2 linked regions of the Neodiprion lecontei genome follow. The protein of the gene in region 1 purifies or fractionates together with the protein of each later gene. This does not show direct contact. Links are inferred from orthologs where the notes say so. Each region holds a gene or a part of one and is shown in the gene's direction. Other genes may lie near its edges.

Region 1 (8,434 bases):
TTTTTCAGACAGCAGAAAGAGTGCTGAAAGAAACCTGTGGTGAAACACTGAACGTCAAGTTTTATGGAAATGCACCGTGTGGTTTTTACAAGTATAAATACCCTCAAACATTAAGAGAAACAGGTGTGATAGGGGCAAAAATATTTTATTATCAAGCAAAATATTTAAAAGGTAGTTTAGCGTCCCAAGCAAAATATCAGTGGTTAGATCGTGAGGAACTGGAGAACACACTGCCAGTTCCTTTAAAAAAAAGTGTAACTCAATTTCTGATAGATGAAGACTGAGAACACTGACCTATAAGCTTTTTAAAAGAGTAATATAACTAAAACACTGAAATTTGTGCAACCGATGTCTAAAATATCTTCTGCAATAGGAATTTTGAAACTAAAAAAGTTAACACAATTAACTTGCAATAATCAAGATTCAGACTCTTCTAAATAAAATTGTAATATTGAATCCGATGATTCTAAATTTGAATGACTAGTTCTAATAAAACAATAGTTTCAGCCTAATGTTACCTATAATTTTGCCGAGTTATTTCATTTCGCACATTTGAGAAGTCATATTGTCGATAGAATTGGAATTAATTACACGAATTTTCATAGGAATTTAGATTTTTTATTTCTCAAGGTGCTGAGAATATTTGTTAATTTAAATAAACTATTATTACGAGTAGTTACAGCTGATAGAATTAAGAGATTTCAGAACCGACCACTCCTCTTTCGGCCCGTATATTTTGAATTATCTCTGACCTCCTTGCCCTGTCTCCGTCTTCTCTCTTTCTTTTCCAAAATCCACTCTCTACTTTTCTTTAGTGCCTTTCCGCGTACCTTCATAGTTCGCTCCCTATAATTTTTAAGAAAAAGAAATCGTCAGTATCCCAATACAATTAAATTATTAAATTAATTATTCAACAAAAGAAAAATTAAGGAATCCAAAAGCTATTAACAATTCTATAACTTTGTTTGAATATGGTTTCTGAATTTGGTATAGTATTAGAACTCCCACACACCTTTTTGACGCGTAATTCACTACAGTATTATCATCACCAGTTCCCAATGCCTTAGGAAGAGGCATTGCGCCACCAGTCATCAGAACTAGAAAGAATTTTTTAGCCTTGGTACTGTTTGGAAAATCAACAACTATACCACCAAAGAACCCAGCTTTGGTCGCTTGCGTTGTGACCAACTCAATCTGGTCGCTATTTTCTGGATAAAATTGAAAGACAGCTCTAGCTGTCCTTCCTAATGAAGCGAAAAGGGAGGAAAAGAACTGATACAGTCGTTTGACTGGATTGTGTGAAGTTTTGTCAGCATTGCAAAGCCACTGTAACGCAGATATGCTCACAGCTCCATCAAAGCTGCCAGCTCTAAAAGGCACCCCTTGTCCCATATCACTCAGAATAAGATCACCCTCAACCTCCCGCTCTTTAGCTACGTCTGAAATAACAAGAATACATTTACAATTTGATCCTAAGCGTCTCCAAACATTGGGAATTTTTCATTGTTTATAATTTTCGTCCACATTCACCAAATGAAAATGAACAATTACGACACTAAGTCAAAAAGAACATTATATGACAGTTTTAGAAAATACCCAATGTAATAGTCGAAACATACTCAACATTGCAGGAGATATATCGATACCGATCCACGTGTGGCCTTGGTCTTCTAATACGCTTCCGCTAAGTCCAGATCCACAACCAATGTCAAGAAGAAGGCATGGCTCGTCTTCAGGTAACAACAGCAATTCAATGGCTCGTTCGCACATTTGAACTTGAATATCCATCATCCGAGAACTAAAAATGTAAGTTTTGGAGTCAAACGAGACAAGTTTTGAGCAAATTCGGTATCACCGGATATATTGTCGCAAAAATAGACTCATACTTCTGTGTGTATTTCTGTGCTTCCACTTCATTGTAGAACTGTAAATAACAGAAAACGTAACAATTATTTGAGGTAACCTAGAAGTCATTCAGACGTACGAATAGTAGAAGTGGATGTCTAATCGTACCACTTCAGGCGGTGCCGAATGCTCTGGTCGTCTAGACATGTTCCAATCTGTTGCTTCTTTTCGAGACAAATCAAGTTCCGGAGAATAACGTTATTAATATCATACACCACTTTGACATGACACGTGCTTGGCGAGGTCACGAGGCCGTTCCTTGGCTTGGGCGATTTAGTTATCGAATGCACTGATTGGTCAATTGTCACGTGGTCTTATAAGTTCCGCTCTGCGTTTGTCCATTCATTTGCCCTATGCTGCACCAGAGATTAGTGTATGATAATCTGAGTAATTACTTTTCCGTACTTTATGCGTGCGACTGAAATTTAGCGTAAAAAATAATCATTTGAAAACACGTTGGCGTTCTACAGCGTTGACGGAAGATTTCAAAGACGTTCATCTTGGGGAAATTTTCTCAATCAGAACTTTACGAGTAAGTGGACTTGGCCACAAAAAGCCGTGTTAACGACTCGGTAGCTTCTTTATCGGCGGGAGTCAGTCAACCTTATAATCAATACACAGAACCGTATTAGGGTATCGAACTGTGATTCCCTTGTGTTTTCACGCATTCTAGTATAAGCTCTATGATTCTGTAGTGATTTCCTTTCGCAAAGATTGAAAGTCATACTTTGAAATTGTTTGAAATACTGGAACTTGGTAAAACGCCAGTGAATACCACAGGAGCGCGTCGAGAGCAGAGAGCAGCTGCTGCGCACTGCGCAGTCCCACAGTCGTCGTTCGCGCCTCGCGGTATTCGCAGTTTGCAAACGGATCATGGTGGTGTTTTGACGATTGTAAAATAAAAATTCCTCTTCCATGTGTTTGACGAGGGCATCATGTTTTTGGACAATATTCAAACTGAGTTTTATAACGAAATATTAGGAAACGTAAGTGAATATTTTACGACTGATCTCTGTACAATGACGAGAGGAATGGTTTACGTGTGCCTCTCTCTCGGAGAGGTAATTTTTGAGGTTGCCTAATTGCACGACTAATTAACAATAAAGTATTTTGAAATCTGACCCAATTTTCTAACTGTACTTAATTACTTTGTATCGAATTATTCGATATTTAATCGTGTCTTTCTTTCACTCGTTGTCTTTGAAAATGATGAGAAAATGAGTCGTTAGAACTGATGTAAATACGTAAGTAAACAGTCCCGTTCTTTTCATTATTCCGTTTATCATTTTGTAACTTTTGTTTCCGGTTTTGTGCTCGCTCTTCGACCTTATAATAATTTTTATTAGCTTAAGAGTAGTGTGAATATAAAAAGACGAAAATTCGGAGTGGTAAACCATATGATTTAGGCGCCCTTTTTCTTCCTTGCATACTTATTTACGTGTTGGGTGTTGCCATCTGATTTTTGAATGTTTTCCTTAAGTCACACAGCCTTAAAAAATTTCAGTGTTTTGAAATTTCGATCTTGACAATACTTAACTTGCAACCTTATCACCGAGAGTACCTAATTTTTTCGAAAAACACATTTGATCAACTATTACAGTAGTGTCCGTTTGTTTATGTCGTTGAACCAAATGTTCTCATATAAATTTATTAAAGGATTTTGTTTCCTATAGATAATGCATTTTCCTTGATCTTAGCACTTATTTCTATTTATTTCTTGGTTTATTAATCATTATCCTAAGAACCATTCGTCAACAAAGTCAACTGTGCTAAACCATTGTTTATATACTAACGATTGAATTTTCCTTTGTTTTTAGAGATGCTTATTGTTAGTCAATTTTGACATCGATGCAATATGTGCATGCAAAATATTGCAGTACCTTTTAAAAAATGACAACATTGTATATACACTGGTTCCTGTGCGTGGAATTCAAGACTTAGTTCAAGCATATGAAGAGAACTGTGAAGAGGTAACCATCAAAATCTTTGCTCCTTTGTATAACCAGTAGAACAATACATATTCAAGTTCACGGTCCAGATAATAAAGTAAAAGATTCATTATCACTTATTCCAATGTTTTTTCGTCAGTAAATGTTCTTAGTTTTTGTTCTATTTCTTTATTTCTGTATAATCATGAAGTCGTATATATTCAGTTCTATGTATTTTTTCATCTTGAGGTGTAATTGATGGCACAAACATGAACGAACAAAAACATAGAAACTTTTGCAAGATCTACGCATTGAAATTAAAAAACACAGGAATTAATATTTTCTAAACCTTGGTTTATTATTCACTATGAAACTATTGAAATACATCTAATTTGACAGATCAATAAAGAGAATACTTATAGATGTTTATATTTTATTAATATATTTTACTGTATTAGGTGAAATACGTAATATTAGTAAATTGTGGTGGAACATTGGATATTGTGGAACTTCTACAGCCAGATGAAAGTGTGGTATTTTACATTCTCGACAGTCATAGACCTTACGATTTATGCAACGTCTATTCAGAGAGTCAAGTCAGAATCCTAGGTCAGCCTGACAATGAAGAAAAGATACCAGAATATACCGAGGTCTTTAGAGATAATTCTGTAAGTATCATTTAACCTATATAATAGATTTCTCGTAAACTTATCAAGCTTAATAAAGATTTATCGTACAGATTATATGAAGCTTTTTAAAAATATTTGTTGTTACTTTATTATATAAAATAATTTGTTTGATGGATTTTATAAATACAACATCAATTATGGTAGTTTTGTTGAGAACATTCTGCTAAGAATAGGGGTAACAGGTTGAAGCTGATAGCGGTAATGTAACAGATAATTTTCAGACGGAATTATCATTTCATCTATTGGAATGAAGTAGAACATATTTACTTTGCAATTGCAGTTGCATTATTTACAAAGTGATGATTTTTACTTCATGTTTCATTACATTAACATTACCAACTTCAAACTCATATGGGAGTTGACAGTGCTTGCACTAATAATTGCCCTCTTTTCAATTCTGAACTTGCTTCACTATTCAGTCTGATGAAGAAGAAGAAGACACAGATGAAGATGATTCGAGTGTGGCGGCAGAAAGTAGGCTATCGAAACGTCGGCGATTGAATGAAGAAGAAATTGAAAAACGAAGAAATCGAAGGTTGTGGGATGCGAGTAGAACACAAATTATGTTTAATTACACACAATACAGCTACTATGGTCGATCGGTATGAAATAACAAATAATTTATCTAAATACTTATCTGTAAACATGGCTGTACTAACTAGGGAGTTTCAAAAAACGTAGGCTTTAATGTATGGCTTACCCTTAGAGTGCTGTGATAATCTATGAGTTAGCATGGAAACTCTCACGAGATACGTTGGACGTGGCGTGGTGGGGGATTATAGGAGCTACAGAACAAGCAATTCTTGGAAAAGTTGAATCCAGGGTTAGTGTTTTAGAAACAGGAAATCTCCAGAGTCACGTTTCGAGACTAAGTCATAGAGTTACGGACAGTGAAAAGCAACACGCCACAGCAGTCAAACTTACTTACGACAAGGAGTATCCTTCATAAATTCGTGCATGTTATATACATTTTGTAGTTTCATAAGAATACAGAAGAAATAATTAATAGTGAATATCAAGACTAGTAAATTCCTTAGTAACATTTAACAGCCTTCAGTTGGCTCTGTATCGTCATTGGACAGTTGAAGCCAGTCTAAAACATTCCGTACCAACGGCGGTTTCTCTTCGCTTATGGTCTTTAAGAGGTGAAAATCGCCTTAGGGAACTCCTGGCTGAGATGGGTTTACCTCTGGCACAATCTAAGCAACGATTTTCAGCCATGGATCTCAGCTTACGACACGAGTTTAAACAGATGATTGAAAAATTAGCATCGAAATACAATGTTGACAGCATTGTTGGTGCTAGTTTTACCCTGCAGTACGGATATAGATTTAAATACTGTGCCTCAGACGTGGTATACTCTATGCTGGCCTTACTTGAGTCCACGGTGGGTTTTGATAAGTTTCCATGAACCATATTTCCAACACTTTCAAACTACAAACCGACAAACTTGTTTCTTTGCAGACAAAAGAAAGATTACCACAACACTGCTTTTTAGATGCTTTGGACTGTCTATCTCGCAAGAAGAAAGATGTTGTAGAAAGAGGCATAGAAAAGGCAAAACTAATGCTTAGCAACATTTATAAGACAGCTCAAGGCATCTTAGAAATGAAACAAGTAAAGAATGCAGGTCCATTTCTTTATATTGTTATCCAAGATGGCACGTTAGATACTCGATTATTTGCACATGAGCACGCATTGATCATGTTGGCACAGTTTACACTAAAAGCATACGTAGAAACATCAAGATACAGGAACGCAACTAAGTGGCCACTGATTGCTACTGCACCTTTCAGCGAAGAAGACGGTACTTGCCTCGTTGTTGGTATACCACCACTATGCGAAGATCAACCTAGAAGGTGAGATAACGTTTGCATGTCAATTTTTCGCAAAATGACTCTTCAACAAATCACAAACCGCACAGTCCGCATGCATATTCACACGCAGAATTGCAAACAAAGAAAATTCTCAAAAATTATATATTCAAAGTATATGATTAATTGGCAACTGAATATGTAAAGTAAAAAAAATTTGTGTCTAACGTAATCTTGCATTATGAAAATCCTCGCAACGTAAACTTGTCGCTGTAAAAATGTGAATTACTATCTGACTCATGAATTTAACATTACTAGCCTCTTTGGAAGGGCATTCGAGCAAGCTGCTAAAAATACCAATTCGTATATAGAGGCGGACTACTTCGATACAACAAGTGAGTAATAAAACTTGAAAAACTTTTATTTAATATTTACAAATATTGTTATTTTCATGTTTACCAGTAATAAGACTGAAGATTCAAGAGCGGCCAAAGTTCTTTGATGCATTGACAGCGCTCCTGATTATATAAATAGTTAAGTAGAAATATTAAAATTTAGTTTATAGTTTTTATTGTAGTGGATATCAATCTACCTATACAATTCAGATCACCTGCTCACAGGTGATTAGCAATGTATAACAATGCAACTATGGGTATTATGATCAACATTTCTAAACCCAGACATATTTTAGAACCAGCGACGTAACAAGCTTTAACTTTATTTTAATCGAATCTGTAGTTTAATTTATTTGACATATTAATCTAATTTCACATTACCTATAACTAGATTTCCTTTACAAATTTTAAGCATTCAGGTAATATTTGACAGTTTCAATGTACTGGTCATCAATACACGGATTTGCAGAATATCAAATTTCTTGATTGAATCGTTAATAAGGGACTTCAAAAAGTCTTGTTTTATTTTACGACTTGTTTGACGAATTTTTTCCAACAATTAGGATGCGATCGAACTACTATAAGTTACTGTCACTAATTCGTTTACTTATGAGTCTCACTAATTTTTTGTCAGTTCACCATATGTGAAGTAAACTTTAGTAAAGCAGATTTATTAGCTTTGTATAAAATGGAATGAGAATATTGAATTCGTAAAATATACTCTTGAGTATTTGATTCCGGTGGCTACGCCGTAAACGGGCATCTCTTGTGTGCTTGGGTACAGGAGTCACGTCACTCTGAAGTTTAGCCACGGATGTGTTCGAATGAATAATAAACTCTTTATTGTACATAGAATGATTTTAAGAGTGATACTAGACTTAGCTCTAACGATAATGTAAGCATCAATTTATAACTTAGGGTCATGGTCAACCGTCGAACATTAATATGATAATTTGATACAGACATTACGCAATAAGTAAAAGTGAACCGAATAAATACATGCGTTTTTTAAAAATGAGTTGAAGATATTTGTTGTCAATCCCAACTTAAACGCTGTATACGTTTTTGTTATCACACCTCTGGTTTCTACAGTAAATTGCAAACTCGCAAGTTTCATCAACATCAGCTCATTCACAAACTGTATATTCCAGACCACCTTGAAGTATTCATAAATATTTTATGAATACAACGTGCCCATATTTTGTAACTGGCACATTCTAAAACGCGGAAACTGAAGCATGCAGCTACAATCGATAGTTGAATGCGTTACCCTCAGTGAGAGAACTGCACCATTTAAAATTTTGCTAAGAAGGAATCAGAGTTGTGAACATTACTTTGATAATGCATTACTATATTCATTACACATTACACTGCATAATGTGTAACGGATGTGTGCTGCATTATAAATTTAAAAAAGTAATATGTAATTGATAAGTAACATTACAAATTACAAATGAAAAAAAAAGTAATTTTTATTGGAGAGTATTCAATAGATTTTTTTTTTTGAATGATTTGTTTTTCTATATAAACTTTTCCACCCCCTTACAACTTGTCAAGAGTTGAACTTCGAGAAATACGTAGTGTGGAGTGATGAAGTTGGTTTTCAAGTGATAGCTTTCTCATAGAGAAAACTTTGTCAGCGCAATAAAACAATGAAAATGCAATGTGCAAGTTTCTAAATTGCACGTTTTTCTTCTGCGTGA
Region 2 (7,591 bases), on another chromosome or scaffold:
TAGGATGATTTTACGATTGAAAATTTGCACCAGTTTAGACTTTCATATCAATTTCACGTCAACAACAAAGTGAGTCATGCTTACAAGAATATAAATCTGAATAAAATTGTAAGGAATGTTTTCATCAATTTACACCTACAACGAACACCAAGAGTTGTAATACACTCGATATGTTTCGTCACACTGATATCACATTACACTCATATAAGGCGTGTTGCTACATTGTGACTTACGAGGTAGTGTAATATATAACCAGCATCAAGCAGAATGTAGCTTAATGTAGTCTATGCGTTATATTTTGTGTAAAAGCAATCAACAGACACGAATAACCGTTAAAAGTATGTTTAATTATAAAAATATAATTGAATATTACATGCGATTGTCACAGGAAAGAATATCGGAGAGTTGTTTTTGCTCTTTGCTCAATTATGTTACGTATCGAGCAAGTGCTGCACATTCATGCTAGCCGTAAACATGCATGTTGGAAATGGTTTGTATCGAAAGTTATATTCAATTGCAAAGTTTCGCTGCCAGTAAGCTGATACTTATGTAATATTTGCCTCCAGCGGGCCGGCTTATGATTCTTGTAAATAGACAATTTCATGACTGAAAATTTGTGATATCTGGGGAAAAAAATGATAAGGATCACAGTTTGAACGTTTGACAACGATTCGTGTTTCATAAACTTTGTATTTACTCGAATGGGAACTCTTTTCCACGCATAATAATGTGTCATGTTTCGAATGCGGAATAATAATGCAGAGTGTTTAATATTAAGATCTGTTCTTTTCTCGTTTCTTGTTTTCTTCTGTGTTCAATTTAACATCAATGTTTGAGTAATGGTACAAAGTGAACAGTATGACTATTTGGGTAGTCGATATATTTTTTTTCTTAATTTATTAAAATAGTAAAAGATGGATTCCACCTAATATCCAACTTAATTCAATGAATGTATTTTTAAATAACTCAAATTCGTTTAAAAACCATTTATATACCCTTGTACAAATTAAGATACTTTGACTGAATATTTTATCTGGTTGCAAGAAAAGTTTGCGTTCATAACAGCAGCATTGTACCAAGTGTGTATATCTTATTAAAGGAAAACATTTTATTATTATTATTATTATTATTATCATTATTTTTTTCTTTTCAAGTGTGATCAACGTTTACACAGCGTTACTTCATTCATTTCTTGAACATGTTTACGTGAATTTGAAAATCAAAATAACTTTGGACAACATGTATTTGTTGTTATTGGTATACAGTGAACCCTTGGTTTTGTTACCATTTCACTAAAGCTGCGATACAGAGAAAGTATAGTATATGGTTCTCGGGGTAGTTATATCGTTGCGATTCGGGTGATAAATGTATAAGTATATATATACATTCATGTATGTATATCTTATATATACTTTTTTTTAGGATAGGTTACAAGACTAATCATGTTAAATTGTTTCATTCGTTTTTTTTGTTTTTTGTTTTTTTTTTTTTTTTTTATCAGTAAAACTGTTTTAATTTCGACAGAACAGATTTCTGCACTACCCTCACATTTGTGGTATCTGAGAGACTAGAGAATAATCATCTCAATCATGTTTGCTCTTTTGAGAGTTCACTTGAAAAAATATTCTTAAGCTGCTATTCATCGCCGTAACCAATGGATTACTTTATATTGTTAAATATTATCTGTGACTATGTTGTTGTAATAGTATTTTACCATGCTGAATTGTAATTTCAACTTTAATTTTAGACTAAATTTACAGTCAATAGAAATCTGTACAATTAACAATAACTATGTGTATACATTGAAGCGAACTAGGTTCAGTTCAATTTTTTCACCAATATACTATTATGAAAATAATGAATTCTTAAACTTTTGATGGTAAATTTATGCATTGCCTATCATTCGTACATTCAATGACAACTTATTAATTAGAATTATATTTTATATACAGACACACTCACATGCATATGTATATATATGTATAATGTCAATACATGTACTGCCTGCAGTTCAATTAATTAAAATTTTAGGCTGTAATACTATCACAATTTATTTTTGTCTGTCAGCCTGAATAATGCGTCGAAATTATATAATATTCTATATTACATTTTGATCTCATAATTACTCGTATCTTCTATTAATTACTAAACTATGATACTTGTGTAAAAAGAAAAAAATATAAAAAATTAGAAATCAGTAACTAAAACCTGCCTCTTGTTGCGCTGCATATAAAATACGTTTTACTTCTGAGTGAAGTAAATTACACTTACGTTAGATAAGTTTTTAGAAGAATACACTTTTTTTCTATGCTTTTCACCTTTCACCTTAAGGTAATAATTATTCATTTTTATGTACCTACTAATTATTGAAAATAAATTCTGTTTTAAATGCCAGTTACGTACACTCGTGTAATAGGTGAAAATTAAAATTCGCATAATATTCCGCGTCGCATTCGATACAATCGACTATCGATATCACACACGTGATCCTGCACGTTTGCTTTTCCCGCGCAATTAAATGGTATCCAGTATGGCCGTCGCTAGCCTCGTATTCTACTACCGGCGTTGAAAGTGTGAGATAATTCTCTATTTTATCCGATGTAATAGTTAATTTCTATTTAATTGACCCCAGTAACACTACCATAAGCAACATGTCAAGTCCAATGAAAAGGCCCCAGACTCCGAATAGGAAAGACGCTGATAGTTCCTCGACTAATGGAACACCAAGTCGTCAGCGAAAAACTCCAACACCGAGTGGCACTCCATCCGTTAAAAGCACGCCGAGCAAAAACCGTACACCGAGTAAACAGGGTAAGTAAACGTTTTCACCTTGTTTTACTCGTTTACCTGTATGAATAAGATAACACAAGCGAGTCGCATCATATTGGTACTTCACTATTACTCTCACTCAAGTCGGTTTTATTTTCCTTCCGTAATACTTAATTTTCCTTTGTATGCCTACCCAGCATTTTGTTCCACCTTGAAATTTTAATTAACAATATGTAAAAGAAATTGAATAAAATACCTCTGAATGCTTCTTATCTTTGTAGGTCGTACACCCAATAGAGAGAAAAATAATCCAACGGCTGAAACTCCGCTAAGATGGGGAACACATGGTACTCGAGATACGATTGCCCCTTCTTCCGAAGGTACATCCTCTGTACCTGCCTCATCGCCGACTCAGGGAGTACAAATGACCAGTCCTTTAGCTGTTGGAATGAGTGAGATAGATTTGTCTTCGCCTTTGTATTACGGGACACCTAGCTCCTTGGGATCGATACGAACCCCTAGAAGTGGCGTTAGAGGTACTCCGATTAGACAGAGACCGGATATCAGAACAGACAAACGAATCAGGCAGGTCAACCTTGGCGAACCGGTAAATAACTATCTTTATGGTTTATAATTTATTAATTGAATTTTTTCTGTCTTTGGCAGATATGTTTCACAATCAACAGTATCAAACGCGACATTCCATTTCAACATACATCGATTATAATTTTAACGGTTTAATGTGCACGTTACCATTGGTGTCAGAGCTTTGCCAGAATATTTTCTCCCAAATTCAAATTCACTAGATTTCTCTCAATGTTACAGATACCAGAGGAACCATTCATACCTGGATCGTCTGAGAGTGAGAATGCAGGTCCGCAGCTCGTGATTTGGGGGACAAACGTCGTGGTAAACAGATGCAAGGATCAATTTAAACGTTTTGTTAGGCGGTTTATTGACCCTGAAGCTGAAAATGATGAGTTACCAGAGAACATGAATCTTGCCGAGCCACTATACCTCCAAAAACTTGACGAAATCCATACTTTAGAGGAGCCATACTTGAACATAAACTGCGCTCACTTAGAAAGTTTTGATGAGCAATTGTACAGACAACTGATTTGTTACCCACAAGAAGTTATACCCACTCTAGACATGGCTGCGAATGAAATGTTTTTTGAAAAGTACCCAGCTGCAGTACTGGACCATCAAATACAGGTCCGACCATTCAATGCAGCTAAGACTAAAAACATGCGCGGTTTAAATCCCGAAGATATTGATAAGTTGATTACAATATCAGGGATGGTGAGCAGAACTTCAAACTTGATACCAGAAATGCGAGAGGCTTTCTTCAAATGTACAGTCTGTTCTTTCACAACTTTGGTAGAAATTGACCGAGGTCGAATTGCTGAACCAACTCTGTGCACTCACTGTAATACTAATCATTGCTTCCGGCTGATTCACAATAGGAGCCACTTCTCTGACAAACAAATGGTCAAACTTCAAGAATCTCCTGATGACATGCCTGCTGGTCAAACACCGCACACTATCGTTGTATTTGCTCACAATGATCTGGTCGACGCTGTTCAACCAGGAGATCGAGTTGCTGTTACAGGAATATATCGTGCGATTCCTCTCCAAGTTAGCTTCAAACAGAGTAATGTTCGCGCCGTGTACAAAACTCATATAGACGTCGTTCACTTCAGAAAGCAGGATTCTAAAAGGTATGCACATTTGAATTTGATGATAAGAATATTTGCAGTATATTTTCTCATTATTGCTTTCAGGCTCTACGATCAAGAGGATGGCAAAGATCATGCATTCCCGCCTGAGAGACTTGAATTGCTACAATTGTTATCCCAGAAGGAGGATGTCTATGAACGATTGGCGCGTAACATAGCACCGAGTATCTATGAGAACGAAGATATAAAGAAAGGAATATTATTGCAACTGTTTGGAGGGACAAAGAAGACCCACACTTCTTCAGGCAGAAATCATTTTCGTGCTGAAATAAATATCTTGCTATGCGGAGATCCTGGTACCAGTAAATCCCAGTTGCTTCAGTACATCTACAATTTGGTACCAAGATCGCAATATACCAGTGGCAAAGGTACGTTTCACTTTATGGTCATTTTAATATTTCCACCGATGGTGATTTAGCGTTTTTATTCGATTCTTATACGAGTAATGTTTTTGTTTATGCTTCAAGGTTCCAGTGCTGTGGGTCTAACTGCCTACGTCACAAAAGATCCAGAAACACGACAGCTTGTACTGCAAACAGGAGCTTTGGTTTTGGCCGACAACGGTATATGCTGCATTGACGAATTTGATAAAATGAACGATGCTACGCGATCTGTATTGCACGAGGTCATGGAACAGCAAACTTTGAGTATTGCCAAGGCTGGCATTATTTGTCAATTAAATGCAAGAACCAGCATTTTGGCGGCAGCTAATCCCTGCGAATCCCAATGGAATAAGAATAAAACGGTACTGATAGTACATCATACCTGTGCTGTCCATTGGGAATTCAATATTATATTCCATCTGAACATAATTTATTAAATTTATCTTACAGGTGATTGAGAATGTTATGTTGCCTCATACCCTGATGTCTCGATTCGACCTAATTTTTCTCATGCTTGACCCTCAAGACGAACTATTCGATAAACGGCTTGCTCGCCATTTGGTCTCTCTGTATTACAAAGCCAAACCTGAGGTTGAAGATGATCTTATTGATATGAGCATTTTACGCGACTACATAGCATATGCCAAAGAACACGTGCATCCAGTTATGAGCGAAGAATCTCAGCAAAGATTAGTTCAGGCGTATGTAGACATGAGAAAAGTTGGTAGCGGCAGAGGACAGATCAGTGCATATCCAAGGCAACTGGAATCCCTTATAAGATTAGCGGAAGCACATGCAAAAATACGACTAAGCAGCTTAGTTGTGGTGGAAGATGTTGAAGAGGCCTGGAGGTGCGTAAAGAAGCTGAAACTCAAACGTGATAAAGATGGTCAACCCTTCATCACGTGATTCCTTGGATTTTTTTTTTTCTTGTTTTAGACTGCATCGCGAGGCTCTAAAGCAGTCGGCGACAGATCCATTGAGTGGGAAGATTGATGTTGGCATTCTGACAACTGGCTTGTCAGCAGCTGCTAGGAAACGAAGAATGGAACTAACACAAGCGATACGTAGCTTGATCGAAAGCAAGGGGAAGATTCCAACTTTGAATTACCAAAAGATTTTCACTGAGATTAAAGAGGCGTCTCAGATCGTGAGTAATCATATTTATTTTATTTTAAACATCGGTTATACCTGGGAATTGCTACAGTTGTCAAATTGCAGCACATATCTAGGTATGGCAGGCATTAGACACATATTTTCATATCACATAGAAGATTAATTGCACGTCAAAAATCTAGCATTAACAAGTTATTAAGTAAATAAATGACACATCGAACAGTGTTAATTTCAAAAGGAATACCTACAAAGAAATTAACGTCCGTAAATTCATTACGTCATTTTTAAATAAATTATCGAATATGGCATCGCAATTGTCAATGAAAAAAATATGACTGAAAACTATTATTTCAGCTGATAACACGTGAGATGTTTGAAGATTCACTGAAGGAGCTACAAGATGACGGTTTTATTATTGTTATCGGTAAAAATACCATCAGAGTCTGCTGAAAGTTTGATATTATTTCCAAACAAGCTCTGTCAGATATTTCGGATGAATTTGATAAATTGTATAAGACAAATAAGCGTTCACAAGGCACTGCCACTATGACAATAATTACATAAAAGTTCGCGCTTGAATATTCCATCTTTTCGACCAGCTGAAAATGAAATCCAGAGAACAATATTCCTTATTTATTTTTTCACGAGAATCAGTGGTAGAAAATTTTTACTACCCCTTCTTACAATACAAAACGAAAATATCCTATACAAACAAATTTTTTACCAAAGAGACCAAGCAGCGGAAATGTTCTGTTTATATTTCCTCCTCTTAAGTCTTTTTCTGTAATGCTACGTTGTGAAAACAGCCCGAAATTGGTGCCTAAACAAATATCTATGCCTTACGGATTTTCGCATTTCCAAGACGTAATTTCCCCGTTTGAGATGCATCTTAGATTATTAATTTTTTATTTCTAAAACCATTATTATAATTAACATGGTTATTTTTCAATAAAACTTTTAAAAATTCGTCTTTTTTCATCTAATTTACCTCATTTACCTTGAAATCATAGTCATTTTCCTGTTGTGTTCCGCCCATATTTGATTTTCTTACCATATCAATTATCGCCAATCTTATCAAATTGTATTTTGTATTTTGACCATCTCCATACATCATCTTGCCTTATACCTATAATTACACGAACTGTAGCTCTCATTCGTGTTCTTATCTTTCTGTAGCTGAATAGTCATGAAAAATAAAATCAAGCGGGTAATGTGCGTGATCTTGATGGGGTCATCATAAGAACTTCCATTCGAGCCCATCAAACATTGACAAAAGAAATGTTTTAATTTTTTATTCAAATAACTGGAAAGCTACATGACCAATAATATTCAAAATCTAATCAGTTCTAAGTTAAGAAAAGCTCCGTTGATTGACTCCAAAATCATCCAAATCTATCCATTCGTTCTGCAGATATCGTTGGATAAAAAAATTATCGCACACGCACAGACACACACAGCCGCAGAGGATTCTATTCTTAAAAACTAATATTTCACTTTAAATATGGAAAAGTGAATAAATAAAATCCATGAGATAATTTGCAAATAAAATTTATAGTTTTTTTTTTTATTCAGACATTTGTTAAG

Evidence for each region. The genes of interacting proteins can lie anywhere in the genome.
Region 2: the proteins of cell division control protein 45 homolog (region 1) and DNA replication licensing factor MCM4 purify together in Drosophila melanogaster (affinity purification with western blotting; 4 studies listed by BioGRID, with this or other methods). This does not show direct contact. The link is inferred for Neodiprion lecontei from reciprocal best matches to the Drosophila melanogaster genes Cdc45 and dpa.

What each region holds. Positions count from the first base shown.
Region 1 is NC_060262.1:27,231,050-27,239,483, reverse strand, and holds cell division control protein 45 homolog, read left to right. Parts: upstream 1-2,466; 5' UTR 2,467-2,840; coding exon 2,841-2,891; intron 2,892-3,722; coding exon 3,723-3,875; intron 3,876-4,291; coding exon 4,292-4,501; intron 4,502-4,941; coding exon 4,942-5,124; intron 5,125-5,228; coding exon 5,229-5,458; intron 5,459-5,572; coding exon 5,573-5,909; intron 5,910-5,986; coding exon 5,987-6,381; intron 6,382-6,654; coding exon 6,655-6,731; intron 6,732-6,798; coding exon 6,799-6,866; 3' UTR 6,867-7,749; downstream 7,750-8,434. Other genes in the region: 39S ribosomal protein L46, mitochondrial, read left to right, coding at 9-284; probable 18S rRNA (guanine-N(7))-methyltransferase, read right to left, coding at 702-846, 1,013-1,439, 1,620-1,798, 1,887-1,924, 2,014-2,052.
Region 2 is NC_060264.1:8,092,088-8,099,678, forward strand, and holds DNA replication licensing factor MCM4, read left to right. Parts: upstream 1-2,504; 5' UTR 2,505-2,651; coding exon 2,652-2,811; intron 2,812-3,050; coding exon 3,051-3,376; intron 3,377-3,594; coding exon 3,595-4,490; intron 4,491-4,553; coding exon 4,554-4,876; intron 4,877-4,975; coding exon 4,976-5,253; intron 5,254-5,341; coding exon 5,342-5,742; intron 5,743-5,830; coding exon 5,831-6,041; intron 6,042-6,361; coding exon 6,362-6,457; 3' UTR 6,458-6,943; downstream 6,944-7,591. UniProt on the Drosophila melanogaster protein: Acts as a component of the Mcm2-7 complex (Mcm complex) which is the putative replicative helicase essential for 'once per cell cycle' DNA replication initiation and elongation in eukaryotic cells.